Astyanax mexicanus: one gene and its partner. The protein of the gene in region 1 binds, or shares a complex with, the protein of each later gene. Links are inferred from orthologs where the notes say so. Each region holds a gene or a part of one and is shown on either strand. Other genes may lie near its edges. The genes, in order: casc3 and rbm8a.

The links.
Region 2: casc3 (region 1) and rbm8a share a complex: the UniProt entries of both Homo sapiens proteins name them as parts of the mRNA splicing-dependent exon junction complex. The link is inferred for Astyanax mexicanus from reciprocal best matches to the Homo sapiens genes CASC3 and RBM8A.

Annotation. Positions count from the first base shown.
Region 1 is NC_064426.1:33,096,327-33,105,868, forward strand, and holds the start of casc3 (protein CASC3), read right to left. Parts: upstream 3,429-9,542; 5' UTR 3,407-3,428; coding exon 3,221-3,406; intron 464-3,220; coding exon 436-463; intron 312-435; coding exon 256-311; intron 1-255. Other genes in the region: msl1a (male-specific lethal 1-like 1), read right to left, coding at 6,343-6,433, 6,564-6,636, 6,719-6,843, 6,932-6,999, 7,152-7,216, 7,600-7,859, 7,988-8,184, 8,526-9,179. UniProt on the Homo sapiens protein: Required for pre-mRNA splicing as component of the spliceosome. Core component of the splicing-dependent multiprotein exon junction complex (EJC) deposited at splice junctions on mRNAs.
Region 2 is NC_064408.1:115,219,187-115,228,749, forward strand, and holds the start of rbm8a (RNA-binding protein 8A), read left to right. Parts: upstream 1-5,419; 5' UTR 5,420-5,473; coding exon 5,474-5,540; intron 5,541-7,189; coding exon 7,190-7,249; intron 7,250-7,363; coding exon 7,364-7,441; intron 7,442-7,947; coding exon 7,948-8,084; intron 8,085-9,392; coding exon 9,393-9,529; intron 9,530-9,563.

The DNA of each region.
Region 1 (9,542 bases):
AATATAAACAGCAAGTGAACATCAGCTCAGCTTCCAACCCTACTAAATACTGAACAGAGATAACTTCTTTAAAACTTCTTGCCATAAACAACACAATTGGACAAAAGGCAACATAACCAAAACAAGCTACTCAAATGTACACCAATAAGCCGCAACCAACGAACACTTAATGCACAGCATCCATCATGTACTGGAGCCAGTTTGGGGACAGATTTTCTCACCAGTCCTCCAGTCTGTGTTGCTATGGTGACTCACCTCTGAGTGAGAACCATTCTCCTCAGGATCCGCACTGTCGTAGTCTGAAAGGACAGCTGCAAGAACAAAAACGAAAAAAGTGGTGAATCAGTGATCTACATCAATCACATAGGAACCGTGTATGATAAAGCCCATCATTAGTGTCAGTACTTTTAAGTAAAAGCACAAAGAGAAACTCACCTTCACCTACACCACCATCTTCACTTTCCTACAAAGGAACAAAAAAATATAGTTAAAGTCAGACTTGTGGTTGGTGGTCAGAGCTGTACAGTGTTTGTGAAACCACTTAATTCCTTTCTCTTTAAAACTGTATAAACAAAAACATCAAGTTCCTTATTCTATAAGCCAAACCTCTGTCACCTGATAAGGTTCACAAAGGAAACACACATCCATTTAGTAATCCACCCAAACAGAAAGTGAAAAAAAATATGGCTTTTAAACCTGGCAACATGTTGATACTGGGCTAACATGCGTAGGTCATATGCTAGGTGGCTTCCAGGTGGACAAAATTTGTTTGTCCATGCATTGGGCTTCCTTTATGTGCCCAGGCCCCATGTGAGTGTACAACTCAGAATAAATTGATGGTTAACTCCCCCTGATCCTATACTAAACCATACTGGGCATCCATATGTGAGGCCCCACCATGAAACCTATATACAAAAACTTGCTGGTTCCCAGTTCGGTTACCTCAGACAACAAAAGCATGTTGTCTGGGGGCTTTGTGTGTAGCCAAGACACAAAAAAAAACTAAAAATCCCATGTCTAGAGATATCAAAGCCTTACCAACCAGACTTGATCATCTACACATAACTTTGTGTAACTTTCCTTGTAAGCAGAAAGCACACCAATTTCTTACACACACTTTAATCAGAAAATGTGTCAATGCCTCCTCATTGTGACTCAAGAAGCAATATTAAGAAAAACTGACAGTGATGTTTTCTTGCTCTGTAATTAATACTGCAGTATTAAAAGTGGTCCAATGTCATAATATTACTAATGCCTTCTGTGTGTATTAAAGACTGAAGCAAAATAACTTATACTGATGGAGATAAATGGAGATAAATTGAGTGTAAATCATCAATAATCCAATGTTTGCTGCCTAATAAACGACAGCCCATAATATCTCCACAACATCAGGCGGGTCTTTTGTAGTACAAAACAGGCCAACCAATGAATCAGCAACATGGTCAGGTACTCCTACGGCTCAGTGATGCTCATGGAGGCACCACCTCACTCACCCTTTACTTTACCTAACTTACAAGATTTAAAGGACCTACTGCTAAAGTTGTTCTTGGTGCCTAATCGCAAACACAGGACACTTTCAAATGTCTTGTAAAATCCATACACTGAATGCAGTAAGCTGTAAAAACATTATCAACAATGTGACGCATCTTTGCCCATGCTTAGATATCAATGACAATTCTGAAACGATAATTTACTGTGCAAGTACCAAATAAAAGTAGCACAAAAAATAAGGAAATACATGTTTGGTAGACGATTTCTTTGCTGACTTGGCAATAAGTCCCATACTGTTGGAAAGCCTGTTATTTCTCTTTTAAAATGGTGCCACATTTTTAAGAAACATGCATTAGTGTGATGAGCAGCAGAGCAGAGAATGTGTGTTGTGTTCACGAAAATGCTAAATGCTCAATGCCAATGCCAAACAGCTTATTGTGCCATTGACTCGTTTGGTGTTGACTATCTTCTTTCTGTGTGATCATCTTGTGATGCCCACTTAGTGTCAGCTATATGGAATGTGGCCTTTAATTTGGAGATATCAGTACTAGGGCTCACTCAGAATAATGCCGTAACTTGGCTTTGCAGCACACCAGCTTGAAGTGAAGCTACCTCTCGGCCTTCTATCCAGATTAGTCAATTGAGGAATGTCAAATCTTGAGGCACACATATACTGACCACTGTACCAGGGCCCATGCTCATGCCAAGGCAACACCTGGGGGAACCAGAAGCTGAAAACAGGAAACAGTAGTAACAGCAGAATACGCTGTTTGGCAATGATGGAGATTTGACAAAATTTTCATGAAGGCAACCCACATACTCTGCTGAGCTCTGCTGCTCATCCTGGAAATGCATGTTCCTTACAAATGTGACAATTTTAAGGGAAATGAACAGGCTTGCCAAGAAGCATTGTCACAACAAAATCTACTAATAACAAAAATTATGTTGTTTTTTTCCTTTTTTTTGCTAGAGCAGTGCTTCTCAAACATTTTAGATCATGTACCACCAAAGCCAAACCCAAAGTACCACCTAAAACTTCGTAAGCATGTAAACGATGTTCACAAATAACGCAATGTGTTATATCGATGTTGACATGAAACACTAATGCTATTAAAAGGTAAACTCCAAATTATAAAAGAAACGCTTCAAAATTACTTTCATCACATTTCTCTTCATGAAAATTATGAGATGTTTTTATGAGATGATAGTGACAACATGTCATTGTCTCCAATGAAACCAGGCAAATTCTTAAGAGCTAGACATTTGGACATCACGTGGTACCCACATGCATTTTGCTGTATAATCTTTTGTTTTTGATTCATTAAAACCTTTATTTGGTGGTGTACCACCTTGGTGTGCTTCATGTTAGTTACCAATGTTTGAGAACAACTGAAGTAGAGGGTTAACGGACAGCACGTATGTATGCATTCCCGTTACAATCACCATTACCATCACTAGAACTATCACCATCACCATCCCGGAGGTGTTGGCGGGTTATGTAGCTACCCTGCTCTGTCCCTCTGACCAGAGTTGACTAATAAAACAGTGAGCCAAAAAAAGAGACTACACACTAACGCTACACTCTACAGACTCTACCCGTCCCTCCCAAAAAAAACCCGCGATTCCTCTCCTATTAACCCCTATCTCCCTCCCCCCGCCGGACCGCTAGCTGAGTCCCTGCCGGACCCTCGGCCCGCCGCTGAAGCCCCGCTGGACGGCCAATACTTACACACTCCGACTCGACATCGCTTTTTGGGGCGCTGCGAACCGCCGGGGCCTCGACAGGCTCCGGGACCCTCGGCCGGGTCTTGGCCGCTTGTGAGGCGGAGCCGGTGCTGTCTGAGCCCGAAGCCTCCTCCTCCTCCTCTTCGCTGTCCTGAGAAGCGCGCCGCCTTCGTCGTCGCCGGTCCGCCATCTTAACTCACAAGGAAGGGGAGAGCGGAAAGGCGCAAGGCAATGTGGGAGTTAAGAAGTGCGTCACTTCCTCTACACCCATTATTACCAAGCAACAGGGCTGAGGAAACTTCATAAATGAAACATAGTCATTTAAATAGAGCTTAAATACTTTTATTAAATTCCAAAAGCAATATAATACAAACAAAGACATCCAAGGTAATTTAAACATACAACCAAAAAGGTTTTTCAAGCTAAACAAAACATTTATACTGACAACACATCTCATTCATAAACCGGCAAATTAAACTCTTTAGTGTAATTTACAGTGGACACAGCTTTATTGCTGCTAATAAACAAGTTAAATCCATCAAGAAATACACTAACTGGCAAAAAAAAATCTTCACCTGGATTTAACTAAGGAAATGATGTGGGGTTGATGCTGCAGTTGGTCAGGTCTAGGTTTCAGCAACAGTATGTGCTGAAAGAATGAGGTCAGCTGACTACCTTATTCCATCACTGGATTTTTTCTTACCTGATGGCACGAGCATATTCCAAGATGAGAATGGCTGGATTCATGAGGCTGGAATTGTGAAAGAGTGATTCAGGGAGCATGAGATCATCATTTTTACACATGGATTGGCCACCACAGAGTCCAGACCTTAACTCCATTGAGCATCTTTGGGATGTGCTGGATGGAGAAGGCTTTGTGCAGTGGTCAGACTCTACCATCAGTGCTGCAAGATCTTGATTAAAAATTAATGCAACACTGGATTGAAATAAATCTTGTGACATTGCAGAAGCTTAAAGAAAAAATGCCACAGCAAAAGCAGGTGGTCCAACCAAATATTAGAGTGTTTGCCAAAGAGGATCATCAGATTTAAAGTTAAGTTGACAGTAGAGACCTTACAGATAAAACCAAAAATAGCAGTCACATTTTATATCTACCCTCTAATTTGCTTATCAAAAAAAGGCTAGAGCTTTCTAAAAATATTTTGAATAAGAACATTAAAAAAATAAATGTTCTAGTTTTTTTGTATGTTTGGAGCAAAATTAACTGTTTTGATAAATGTAGCAATATTATAATTACATAGGTAGATGTACGTGAATTCTAAATGTACTTGATTCTCTGATTTTATTATAAATACAAAACTTATAAAGTAGTGATGAAGCTTTCCCCCAAGAGATCTCTGTAAAATGAGAGTTCCAATATGATATCCCTTGTGGCCTAATTTTTCTTTTGTTGTAGAATCCTTCCCTAATACTGTGTTTCACTTTTGAAGTCTCGAACATTAATATAAAGCAAATGGTTTAAACTTGGAGACGGTGTAAAATTGCATATGAGATTCCATCATCATTAATAAACATTTAGTAATAGCTTTAGCTACAACATTATACTCTTTATGTTTTATAAGAAAAGACCATTTTTTTTTATTAAATCTCCATAAGAAGGTAAACTAAGTTCATAGGAAAGAAAGTAAATGCCCAGAATCATCCAACAGATAAGCAACATAATAAATATCACAATCTTTTTAAGGGCACAGAAATAACATATATATTTTTTTACTGTCATATTGCCATTGTTCCAAAGACCTAAATTATGTCGACAAAAATTATGAACGTGTGGTATAAAATACCAAATATGTGGAGATTAATTAACCCAAAAAAGCCCATGGTGAAGTATGTCACAGACCCTTTAAAACATGTGCAAAGTTCCTTACAGCACTCTGTCCTTTATTTTAAGTCATAAAGTTCCAAGTGAAATATACTGAACATCCTGAGAGCATCAGTTGGTTGTAGAGGTGGTGCAAGGTTTTGTTGAAATCCATAAATATTTGGCAAAACGGCATAATTCTAACACATTTAGGTAGTACTGCTGTATCCACAAGCTTTTGGTTTAAATTACATTTCGCTAATAGAGCCACGTCTCTACCCTAGGCCAAATTATGGAGCCAAAAAAATGTATATTTGTCTTTGCATTTGCATTTTTCAGCAGGGTAATGATCATCCACACACATGAAAGATTTCTGAAGATTGGCAACACTTCCTTGGTCTTTAGGCTGGAATCTATATTTCAAATTAAGGAAGCACAACTAAACAGGTCTGTCAGATTACATTCAAACAGCCATGTCCAATTTTCATGAAATTACCCCCATACAGTCCAAATCATTTTTTCAAGAGTCTGAATGGATGTTTTGGATTACTACACTATTTCTCATTTTCAGTCTTACCATTGCTGTTGTTTATGACGTGCAATGACTGAGTTAAGTGCAAAAAAAAAAAAAATTAGATTAACTACATAAGTATTTTCCAACCTAATGTAACACAAACAGTAAACTAGAGTGGATAACACAAACAAAAAAAAAACACAGTAACAAATAAATTGTGAACTTCTTTAATATTTGAAATATTCTCTTTAGATGCATTTAGAGTATCTTACACTTATACTTTGAATCAACACTATTTTACAAGATAGGCCATGTTTTCTTAGATTCATACCATCCACTTACAATGAACAGAAATGCAAACCAAAAACAACAAATCTTGACATTCTCTGTTCTCAGCTCAATATGATGGGAGTTTTGGTCCATACTGTACATCTGAAAGCAAACTTGTATGAGATGATGCAAAAGCAACCAGGGCACAAGCATTATACTTTGCAATATTAAAACAACCATGAGCATGAACTTCTGAAAGCTTGGTTTTCTGCCACTGTGGAGTTAGACTGTTAAGTGGTTCCATCACCAAATGAAGACTTAACAGAGGAGAAAAATGGACTTGGTCTGCTTAAAGATCAAAAGTGCAATCAAGGCAGTCAGGTATGCCAGGTGAGTGCATATTGCCAATATGATCTTGTAGCACACAGGACATGCCACGAAACAGTAGAGCTGAAGCAGCATTTCCTTTAGAAGGAACATGTGGGCTGCGCCGCTGTCTTTTTTCGCCTGTAGGACTGCTTCACTTGCGGCAGGTCCGATGGGGCGTCTTCTTTTTGGACAGTTCTTGTCGGCAGCGACTGCGCTCATCCAGCCATGGTATGTCAAAACTCCTGTACAAAGAAAAAATGAAGAGAATGATTTTAAGCAGAGGATTCCAGAACAGACCATACATAGGACAAATTTTGAAGAAAAAAAAGAAAGAAATCTTGTGTTACAAATGTGAAATATGAGTAAACGTACTGCTGTTGAAGATTAGGCAGGGGTCTGCCAAATGCCACCACTGGCAGGTATGGTGTAATCATTATTGATTCCACTGAAACAAAAAAAAAAAAAGAACATTTTGGTAAAAATGCACCAATTTTCTATGTTTAACTGTTGAAACTTTAGTGACATACCATCCTCTGCTTCAGGGTAGAAGGAAAGTAGCTCTGGCTCACTTTCCTGAATCACTTTTCGCTTATCCATCCTCTGCTGGAGTCTCTGGAACATCCTCTGCTCCCTAATACGCTGAATATCCCACCTGAGACAGACAGGAAATTAGGGACTTGTGAAAAGAAACAGAGAAGCAGTCCGTTCAAAGAAACCGCAGGGATATTAATCAGTTCTACCTTTTCCTTCTCTTTTCATCCAACTCCAGTTTTGAATGCCGCTTCAAAAAGACACCGTCATCTAGACTCTGAATAAAATAATAAAGTCACTCTAGGGTGCAGATTTAAGATTTCATACATAGATAAACTACATTTGTATTTTTTCCTAATAAAGGCCACTGTAATACATTTCAGGAGATGGTGTAACATATCAATCTCTTTTCTTTGAATTGTTACTGACCTCAGGGATATCTGTTGCTTTTTTCTCCTCCATGGGTTCCAAAATGCTCTCTCGCCAAGACGGGACTAAAATGGAAAGGAAGGTATAAAGTGTCAATAATCCAGATCACCAACATTTAGTTTAAAAGTTTTGTTGTTCTCTAGATACAAGTTACCATTGTTGACATTTGAAAGAACTTTAGCGCTACAAACATTACATATACAAATATTTGTGGACACCCCTTGTAATTAATACATTCAGCTATTTTAAATTTCACCCATTGTTGACATGTGCAAATAGTCCATGCACAGATATACTGCCAATAGAATAGGAATCTCTGAAGCAGATAAACACAAAACTTTTGACCCTGTTCCTAATGCCATGTATGAGCTAGAGAGTTTGAGCTATTGGTGCTAAAAGTGTGTGGGCTATTGGTACTGAAAGTGCTTGCACAACTGACAAAACTTACCAGCAACTGTGTCGTCCTGCACAGGAGATGGCTCTCTCCAAGGTGAGGGTGGCGGCTGGTGCCAACAGCACAGATACATTTCTGTCGTAGCCAGGTAAGGCAGTTCTTCTGATTGGACAATGGAGGAACCATGTGACTTAAATTCGGGACTTTCTTCTTCTTGAGCCTCCTCCTTCAAAGCTTGGCCTTCCTTTGGAGAAGGCATTTTGGGCTGACCTCGTCTGGACCTGGCCATCCCGGATTCTTGAAAAAGGAATCTTCTAAAAAAGCAAAAGAAAGTTTAGTCATGTTTGTGTTTGATTTTTCATGCATGCCAAATCAACAAATAAGTAAGCAGTATGTTTTTAAACAAAAACATTTAAAGCTTTACGTATAAAATGTTGAATACCTTTTCAGGCCCTTGCCACCCCTTCCTAAAGTCATAGGTCTAGGTGTCAGGCTCTGCCCCTCAGGTTGCCCTGTGCTTTCTGGTGAGATGGCCTCAACAACTTCCTTGCGACGTGGAGTCTGAGACGGCCGATTCTCAGATCCTTCTTTCTTCACCATCTGTAGCCGCCGCTCCATTCGCTCAATGCGAGCAGTCAACTATATTAATGAAATTAATAAATAAGTGTGCATAGCCCAGAGCAGTGGAAGGATGCCTTTGCCATAGTTTGTTTGTTTTTTTAAGTACAAAACATGACAATTGATTAAAGAAATGCTTCCTCTTAATTTGTGTGCGTTTAATCAAGTTATCAGCCCTAAGCCACTTACTTAATCTCATAAAAGTGTGAAGGAAAATAAAACTGTATAAAATCTAGACTCCAAATACAAAGATCAAGCAGGTATGTATTAATGTATCACAGTTGGGAAGGTGGCGTAGTGTCTGTCTCAATATACTAAAGACAATTTGTTTAGTACACAATAGACAAATAACCTCTGCTTACCATTTCCTTTTCAGCTTTGAGGTCATCTATCTCTTTGTTTTTATTCTGCAGCTGCTGCTGTTGCTGTTCAATCAGCTCTAGCTGCAACAGAAGAATCTGACGAAAGCAGCTAGTCTGTGTGGCAGCATGGCCGATGCCCTTCATCATATTTCTGCTTTTTGCATCAGGGCCATGTTCAGGTGAGGGGACTCCTGCTATTGCAACTCCCCCCACTGGCCCTGCCTTTCGTGGCTGCTTGCTGCCGTTTGATGCCACTGGATCCATCCTGCCCAAGTGGTTGTGACTGGCCTGTCCAAACAGTGATTTGCTTTTTACTGGGGTACCCTCGGCCCCCATCTGCTTGGCCAGAGGAACTATCAAATCCTCCAGGTTCACCCAGTTCTCCTCTTGCCCTTTCCTCACTGCCAGAGACTGGCCAGGTCTGCCTGCTGTGCTGTGACTGCTTGTGAAGGTCTTCACTTTGCTGTGGAGATGCTGTTCACTACTGTTGTGGATGGTGCTCAGGACGGCAGGAACTCTGACAGGATGCTCACAGCCTTGCTTCTTTACAAGACTCTGAGATTCAGTGGCTGCCACTTGTTTTTTGCGTTGGTCAGTCAAGTCTGTGTCCAGCGTGTTTCGTCCACTTGTAAACACGGTGGAGCGCATAGTCATGGCGAGTAGCAGTTGCTGAGCTACCTACACCCACTGCTGTCGTTAAGGGTGGCTCAGCGAGGGAGAGCAGCGTGCTTGAAGCACCACATCCACATCCATTCTGAGCTCTGAAAAAGAAAAACAGAATGTGGTTTGTTACACTTTAAATAGTTTTGAAACCAGTACTTTTACATTTTACTTGAGTAAAGGTACCCCTATATTATATATAAATCTATATTTATAACCCTATAATTCTATATTATTCCACTATAGTTAGTGTACATTAGAACTCTAGCTAAATGTATTTTCGAAACAATGCAAATGTTTGCTGTATGTGTAGCTACATTCCCAATTACCCAGGTTAGCTAATTGTTGTGCTTCAGT
Region 2 (9,563 bases), on another chromosome or scaffold:
TTTTTAAGTTATATTTACTTATTAATTTGTACACTAAGTACACTCCTGGTAAAATAAGCAAACAAAATCCCAAACATTACATTAATTGCAACTGTTTAAAAGGTTTACAAGTCATTTCTAAAGCTTTGGGACTCCAGCAGACCGCAGTGAGAGCTATTATTCACAAATGGAGGAAACATGAAACACTGGTGAACCTTCCCAGGAGTGACCGGCTGACTGAAATTACTCCAAAAGGGCATGGACAAAATAATATTTTATTATTATTTTATCTTTATTTTACTTTATCTTTATATTTACCTGTTTTAACAATTGCTCATTTGGGTGGAACTGGATTGTGGGAATACAGTTTTGTTCCAACTCATGTACAGCATGTGATGTGAAATGACGTTACAGTTTTTTGACCTTTTTTTATTTAATTTGACTGGCTTTAATTTATGTATTTTCTTTCTTTGTCACGTTTTGGTTTGTTTTCAATCCCTCTGCACTTTATCAACATGCTTTTTATTGCTGAATTACGTTGATAATGATTATGTGTGCTGATGAAACCTGTGGCACAGTGACTACACAGCAGTTACATGTTAGTTTACTGTTCAGCAGGTCGAAGTCTGGTCTTGCCAACACGACTGTGGTTATATCAGCCGCTGATTGGCTTTATCTGCAGGTCGTGCTGGTGATACACGCTGACTAACGTTCAGCTGAAGTCCACTTTCAGTTTGATAAAAGGTCATGACCACACACTGACCTGTATCTTGGTTTTTTTGTCTGTTAGAGGATACAGTATTTTACCTGCTCATACTCAGTCTGATTTGGTAAGGGGTATCAAACTCATTTACATATATACATTTATTTCATTTTTAATTAATATTTTTTCAACAATACTTAAAAATCTAATTTATAAACCCTTTATAAACCCTTTATAAGGGTAGTCTTATTTTAAAGTGGTTTTAAAATAAGACTACCCTTATAAAGGGTTTATAAAGGGTTTATAAATTAGATTTTTAAGTATTGTTGATTAGGTTGTGAATGCCTTAAAACCTTTGATAAGCAGTTACAACACATTAATTAAAAAGGCAACAGTGATCCTTTGTTTGTTTAGTCATTTGACTTAACTGAGTCATTTCATTTATAGTAAATAGTTAAACATACTTACAAATATATAATATATAATATGACAAGTTTAATGCTGATTGATGGAAAACACAAAGTAAGATCAGTATCTAGAAATATATGAGGTTTGACAGTAGAAATGAGTGTTTGCCATTTTTTTAACTTAGTACTGTTATTTATTTATTAACTGCTTATTAATGAGTTTTAAAGTTTGTAGCCTAATTAATAACCATTAATAATCTCCTTTATAGACCATTCTTAACCCCTTTATAAAGGTAGTGTTATTTTAAAGTGGTACCACATTTTGCTATATAAGCATAGATGTCCATTGTGTATTATAAATATACAGTGAAAAAATAATAATAATTTGATCCCTTGCTGATTTTGTAAGTTTACCCACTGCCGTTGTTTTGTAAGAGCAAAAGACAAAATATATGATAAGGTGGACAGACAAGTAGAGCACAATAGACAATAAATACAGTACAATGTGCAAATTCTGCATTAATTAATACTTAATCTAATTTATCTGCTGTAACGTAGATTACTGTAGACAAAACTGCTGCCTGTTTTAATACCAGTTTCAACAAGTCCTCGTCTTCATCACTTAGCCTCACTTTTTTTTTCATCCTCAGGGGAATCCTACGTGGCTAATAACAATGCAAAACAACGGCATCATATGTTTTATGTATAGTATGTGCAAAAGTTGCAAAGAAATGCTACATTGGAAAGTTTGCACAGCTAATAGATCAATAACAGCACATTATTAATAATAGTGTGATTAACTAGCAAGTTACGCAACAGTTTGACTACAACTCTTCTGCTTTATATAACGCAAATAGTCTCAATCACTTAATTCCTAAATTCTGGTTTATACTTCTCTGTGAAGTCATCACACTGTCTATGGCAGGGGTGTCCAATTTTTTTTTCTTGGGGGCCAGAAGGAAAAATAAATGTGCAGTCACGGGCCACAGACTCTGTAATAAAACAAATAATGAAATATACCACTTATAATAATACATTTTCTTGATAACTATCATTTACACATTATTTTACTTGAGTTACTATCTTTACCTGTCATTGAGAGTGTTGTGTAAACTAAGATTTTCAAATCGATGTTTCATTTCATAATGTCTATTACTGATTCCTGACATATTAAACATACACACCTCCCTCTGAGCTCAGTTAAAAAACAGTCATTTTCCCAACGTGCCTGAAATTTTCTGCATTTGCTGTCTATTTTCCATTTCTTTGGAGCTGCCATGTTCTCCCAAAAGCTCAGGAACAATATTGTAGATATAATGAAGTGAGAAAAGGAGGTGAGGAGCGTTTTAGATTGAGTTTATGTGATAGCAACACCCAGCGTTCAAACTTTGAATCTCACATTATAAAAACCTGCTTAATAGCGGGCCTACTTTCAGTTTATTTTCAAAATATCTTGCGGGCCACTCCAAAAAAGGAAACGGGCCAAAAATGGCCCACAGGCCATAGTTTGGACACTCCTGGTCTATGGCATAACCTGTGGGTGTTTATACTTCTACATTTGTGTGTTTGTGGCTCTTCGTCGCTCCACATGTTTAAACCACAAAGACAGCTGCTGCTGTCTGTGTCACATGACGCGTAGTTACTAGGGCTGTCAACGGTAATGCTATGATTTCCTGTTACTTTTAGTCCTGTTACTCATAACAAAAAATAACAGGAGTGAGTGCCAGTAACAGGACTGAGTTTAAGTAACAGGAGTGGTTTTCATTTGGAAGAGTTACAACAAGCAAATGGCACCCATTTAGTGGAATGGCCCTTAAACAGTTATTGTTTGAGACTAATTTCATGATGCAAATATATATTATAGTCTGGAGACACTGAATACACATTAAGAACAGGCAGATAGAGAATAGAAATGTTAAAAAGTGAAGTGCTGTTTTAATTTTAGCAGGTAAAAAAGCAGGTGTTCAGTATAATCAAAATCTGTCCTAGTCCTTCGTTTTTTGGTGCCACATTTGTTGTTACGCTCACTTTTCCTCAACTGTGCTGCCTAAGATGTTGTGAAAGCCCTGTCGTTGTGATGGTTGTTGTATTGTACATATTGCACTACTGAGCTGCGGAGATGTCAGAGGCCTGGGCAGCCCTGTTTTTCTCTTTCTTTCTGCCTTTTTCTGTCATGTGTGAACCCCCATAGAGGCCGGCAGAATGGCCGAATTCACATTTAAAAACAGCACTTGTGCTCCTTCCAGTGGCGTCATCAAAGCCAATCCCAGTTCAATGGCTCAGTCAATTGGCCCGATGGGAGGCAGCGCATTTTCTAAAATGACCTTCTTCTGGGCGATTTGAGCACTCCAGCTCCCAGCATGAGCCGAAGTATTGAAACTAACATTGAGGAGATAATTGGGGCAAAATCTGAAAAAAAAAAACTTGCTTAGCAACGCAGCAAGCGAGAGAGACAGAGTGGGGTTAGAGGAAACAGTGAACTGAATGCAACTGAAGCAAGGGTGGCCATATATAGACCATATACGTATAGGATACAGGCTGCTATTTAAGATTATTAGATCACGATGAGGGGAATTTTATTGTATGCAGACACATAGTAGCAGGGTAGCTACTGTAAATATATATTTATATATTTATATATAAATATAAATGTTACTTGGGTCCTGCACTGACCTGTGTTATATGTGTTTGTGAGATCTATATAAACAAAGATAAGCGATAAAGGTATTTTTCTTGCAGTTTCTATCTCGTGTGCCTTATTTTTTGCACTATAGGGCGCACCGGATTATAGGGTGCACTTTCAATAAATGTCCAGTAAACATCTATTTCCATACATAAAGACACTACTAACTAGTAACTAGTAGAAACAGGGATATCGTCATGTTTTCCTTCTACATTCAGCAGGTAAAGCTATGCTAAGTAAACTAAAATGTAATTCTTAAAAAAAGCATTTTAGACTAGTCAGACAAGCAAACGAGTGCTGGATGTTCATCTACAGAGATTTCTTTCCTGAAAACTGTTTATTTGGGTGAGTAAAGTGCTTCTATTTATTAACAGTAAGCCTAGATTTCCAGATTTCCTCTAAAGCTGGAGCATTAGCAATAACGGCTAACCACTAGCAGTTAGCGGCTAATTCCACCAGACAATGCTACACTGAGGAACCCTGAGATTTCCTGTAAGCCGGGGCGATATTAGCTAACAGTCTGTCCCATGTTGCTTGTTCTAACACGGTAAACGTGCAGGCTACAGTCTGATATACTCGCCTCTAAACGGAGAAAGAGCTAGCGCTGTGGTTAGCAGCTAATGCTAATGCTGCTCCAGCAGTGCTAGCCAGAAAATGATCAACCCAAAAAGAATAGGGAAATTCACAATAAACAAAACAAGTGCTCAATGGTTTCAGTAGCTCCTTAAAAATATAACAGCATCACCCATATGAAAAAATGTATACAAAGCTCAAAATAGCATTTAATTGGTAGCACCTTAATAATGTTATAAGGCAGCTCTTTTGTTATTATGTTTTAATAATATTTGCATGAGTAAGACTCCAGATTTTTTTTCAATTGGTTGAACTGATAAAACTGTACCCTGATAGCAAAGAAGTGTGAAATGAATTGACATAATTTTTTGTTGCATCACATATTTAAAGGTTGATGATTTAAACTTTAAACTAAAGCTTGTCTTTTTAATTGACTTACTTGCACTTAAGGCAGTCAATCAAAGTCTGATGGAAACAATTGTAGGACATTATCACATATTATATAATATAAACTAAAATAAAATCAAAACCAAAAAACTATAGAATGCAAATAAATTTGAAAAGTTTTTAAATTGAAATGGAATTCTATGTAATTTCTTATTTTTAATCTGTCGCAAATTTACTAAAATACATCTATATAGTTATTTAGTTCCGTATATATACAAATGTTTGGTATACTTTTTTTTTGGTTAGCAAATTTCATCATATGTATATAGTATAGTATTATGTAAAATTATAATCAAATCTATTATTTTTTGAATTTGCGGTTAAATAAGAGGTAATCACAAATAAACAAAATGTATTGGTCTATAATGGGATTATCATTACTTCAATCCAAAAATGACAAGAAAATATACAATTTAACAAAGCTTGTCTGTAAAAAATGATCATTTTATAGGTAGGTAGTTTAGTAAGGAAGAAACTTTGTGAACTGAATGAAATAATTTTTAATAATTATTTTAATCCAGCTATTTTTAATAGTTTTTTCCAGAGGCGGCTGTACCTGCTGGAAGCCGGTAGGCGGCGCTGCCCGGGTTCGCCTCTCCTTTCTCGCTTTAACTGCGTCACCGGCGCGCATAGAGAAGAGCGCACTGCGCATGCGCATCACTGCTCACACGAACAGGCATCATGGCGGACGTGCTGGATCTTCATGAAGCGGGAGGAGAAGACTTTCCTATGGATGAGGATGGTGATGGTGCGTCTTTACTGCGGGTTTAACCCGCTGTTTAAACCGTGTGTGGTGTACTGTAGCTGTTCTGTAGCTGTGCGGGCGGGTAGTTTCTGTTATTTTGTCCGGACTGAGCGGTAAAGCTCGGTTGAGGCCTGGTCCGCCCGCCCTCGCCGCGACTAGCACGAGCTAAACCCGAACAAACAGACCCGGTTTAACCCGTTTACTCTCAGTTTAGCTTATTATCTTTATCTTATGTCGGGGTTTCCTATTAGTCTGCGTTATTTAGTTGAGGTATTTAAGAAAATATTCAGTAGTTTTCCAGTAGCTCCAGCTTTCTGTATTTTCTCTGTTAGTCTTCCAGTAACGAACACTCACACACTTAATAGAGACAAAAAGTTTGTGTAGTTCCACCTTAAATGATGCTGAATAGCCGCGCTGTTTAAGGTGGAATGGAAATATTCAGTAGTTGTCCAGTAGTTCCTCCAGCTTTCTATATTTTCTCTATTAGTGTTCCAGTAACGAACACTCACACACTTACTAGAGACAAAACGCTTGTTTAGTTCCACCTTAAATGATGCTGAATAGCCGCGCTGTTTAAGGTGGAATGGAAATAGTCAGTAGTTGTCCGGAAGCTCCAGCGTCATATTCACTCTTTTAGTGTTCCAGTAATGCCTACTTATTTTGCTTTGAGACAAAAAAAATCCTTCCACCTTAAATGCTGTTATGAAGCCAAACTATTTAAGGTGGAATGGAACATACCTAGTCGTTGTCCAGTAGCTCCAGCGTTCTTTATTTCTAAATATATTAGGAGACCAAGCTTTTCTGTTTACTCCAGTGTTTAGTTCTACCTTCAAGGGTGCTACAGCGGCTGCACTATTTAAGGTGGAATGAAGATATTCAGTACCTGTCCCGTAGCTCCAGCCTGTATTCCCGTGTTTTTTATACCGTAAATTTGTAATTTACCTACTTTGCCTAGAAAAAACAAACTTCTGTTTATTCTAGTGTTTAGTTCCACCTTAAATGGTGCTATCAGCCAAACTATTTAAGGTAGAATGGAAAATATGCAGGGGTTATTCAGTAGATCCTATATTGTTAGAGTGTATTAGTAGACGAAGCTTGCCTTTGTATTGCATTGTTTAGTTCCACTCTAATTGGTGCTGCAGCAGCTGCGCTATTTAAGGTGAAATTAAATAAATCCAGTAGCTTCTTGCTTCAGCTTCTTGTATTGTCTGAGCGTATTAGCTAGCTAGTCTAATGACTAGATTTAGCTAACCTATTGAGTTTGCTTGGGGACATAAATATTTGTCTATTTATTGCACTCTAGTTCCACATTAAATTAGCTGCACTGTTTAAGGTGGAATGAGATCAATCCGCTAGCTTCTGCTCTCAGTATTGTCTGAGTGTATTGGCGAGAGTTCCAGTAATGACTGCAGTTATTGTTAGAGTTTGCTTGGAAGCAAAGTTTTTTTTTTTTTTTTTTTTTTTTTGTTAATTGATGTTCTTCTGTATCAGCATCACTATTTAAGGTGGAATGGAAATATTCTGTAGTTGTCCATTAGCTCCAGCTTCATGTATTCTCTTTGCCTAGAGGCAAAAAACTCTACCTAAAATGGTGCTGATCAAATGCGTTATTTATAGTGGAATACATCTGTGTATTTTATTTTTTTTTGCAGAGAGCATCCACAAGCTAAAGGAGAAGGCAAAGAAGAGGAAGGGTCGTGGATTTGGATCTGGTAAGTAATATTGATTTTTGTGCAAAATAAAAAGTTTTCTCTCTTTATGGTTATAACACTAATATATTTCTTTTGACTGTACTCTGTAACTAAATATTTGTGTTTTAACACCAGAGGAAGGAGCGAGGTCCCGAGTGAGAGAAGACTATGATACAGTGGAACAAGATGGTGATGAGCCTGGCCCACAAAGATGTGAGTTATCAGATTGGATATTGGAAAGAATTGGCATGATGTTAATTGTTCTTAATACTGGTATTAGTCTTTAATACTGTTACCCCTCTCTAACCACCTAATAGGGCTGCAAACCTCAGCACCATCAAAGTGATTTTATAATGTTATAAATGTTTTCCAACATGTTTTAAGTATTAATGTTCCTCACTAAAGATATTCTTATAAATTAATCAAGCAGTTTACAACCTCATAAAATGAAATGTACATTTACACAAGTCATATTCTTTCCAGTATATTATATTATATTATGCGAAAAATGTTTGCACACTTTTCCCCCTTTTACACTAAATGTAGTGGACTCTAAACTACCTAAATGAATGAAAATGTTAAAAGAATGTGATTGAGGTGGTTTAAAGTGTGTGGAGCTTGAAGCCAGTCTGATTTACCCCATATTTCAGTAAATTGAGTGTTTTACGCAATTAAAGAAAAGCATCATTCTATTATTTTTGTTCACGCTGTATTTTCAGCTGTTGAAGGATGGATCCTGTTTGTGACTGGCGTTCATGAGGAGGCAACGGAAGAAGATATCCATGACAAATTTTCTGAATTTGGAGAAATCAAGAACCTGCATCTCAACTTGGACAGAAGAACGGGTTACCTTAAGGCAAGTCTGCAGCATTCCACCTTCAAACAATTTCTATATTTGCGTGCCACACAAATTAGGCGATATACTTCACATCAACGCAATTTTGCTATGAACATTGTCCATGTCAGATAAACACTCCCAAAAATCTGTAAAATTTTAGATTTACTGGAATTAAGAAATCCTTTACATTTCATGGAAAATCTATGTAAGAAATTGTATTTTAAGCCAGTTTGCTTCATTTCTATTGGTCATGAAAAAACAGCATTAAGAAACAATCAGCTACTTTTCACTATATTTACTTAATGTACACCTTCTGTTTAGACATACTATAATTGTTATTAAGCTATCTTTTCCTTACTTTCCCTAGAGCTAACACTAGTCATACGTTACTAAAACTGATACTAAAAAAAAAAAAAAAAAAAAGAATACAGAGAAACTACAAAACACAGTAATCTGCCTTGGTTTGGAAACCAAGTTTGGCCTCCCTAAGTGTAAAGCTGTGAATCCATGGGTTTGTCTTCTTACTAGAGGGATTTGTTGGGAATAATGTGTTCAGGCGACCACTAAGTGGCAGTATTTTATAAGAACAAACAGAGGCTTTCTTTTACTTAAGGTATTGAAGATGCATTGGGTGTATTTCCACATCTACTGTGTTTTACTGACGCACTTGAAATACTTAAATATTTGATTTTGATATTTATTTATTTATTTATTTTTATTTAAGTTATAAATGCTCAGCTGCATGAAAAATGGACAATACCCAAGTAAAAATAAAGTTTGATTGAGTGACACTAAACCTAAGAGAGTTATATCCACCCAAGGACTTGGTGTAGAATAAGAAATCAAACCTCTGGGGAAGGCAGTAGGAACCCACTACACTACCTCAGGGAGCCACATTTCTCTTCCAGCTTGTTGTAGATTTTGCCTCAAAGTATTAAAATAATATTGTATAATGTTAATTTAAATAATTTCAAAACATTATGTAAGCTGTTAATATATACAGCATGGGTCATTCATCCTCCTTATAACAAAAAGATCCACCCTGAATTAGTTTTTCTAATGCCATTTAAACAAATTTACATAAATCCTCCCACACAACAGCCTCCCCCATTCACTATGTTCTAAAGATATAAGAAGTGCTATTTGTATGAAGCACAGTACAGGCCATTCAAATAGAGGGCATTTGCATATCAGCAGCCTGTTTATCAGGTAATATAAAACCAAATTACACTTATATTGTAAGTGGACCTCGGGGAGAAAATAAGATCAATTAAAGTATGGTCATATTACTCAGAGCTTCATTTTGTACTGGTGTTTTCCTCACAGGGCTACGCACTGGTGGAATATGAAACGTACAAGGAGGCACAGGCTGCCATGGAGGGTCTGAACGGTCAAGATCTTATGGGTCAGCCAATCAGTGTTGATTGGTGCTTTGTTCGGGGACCACCAAAGGGCAAGAGGAGGTGAGTATCATAATACATTAGACTTTTATAACTT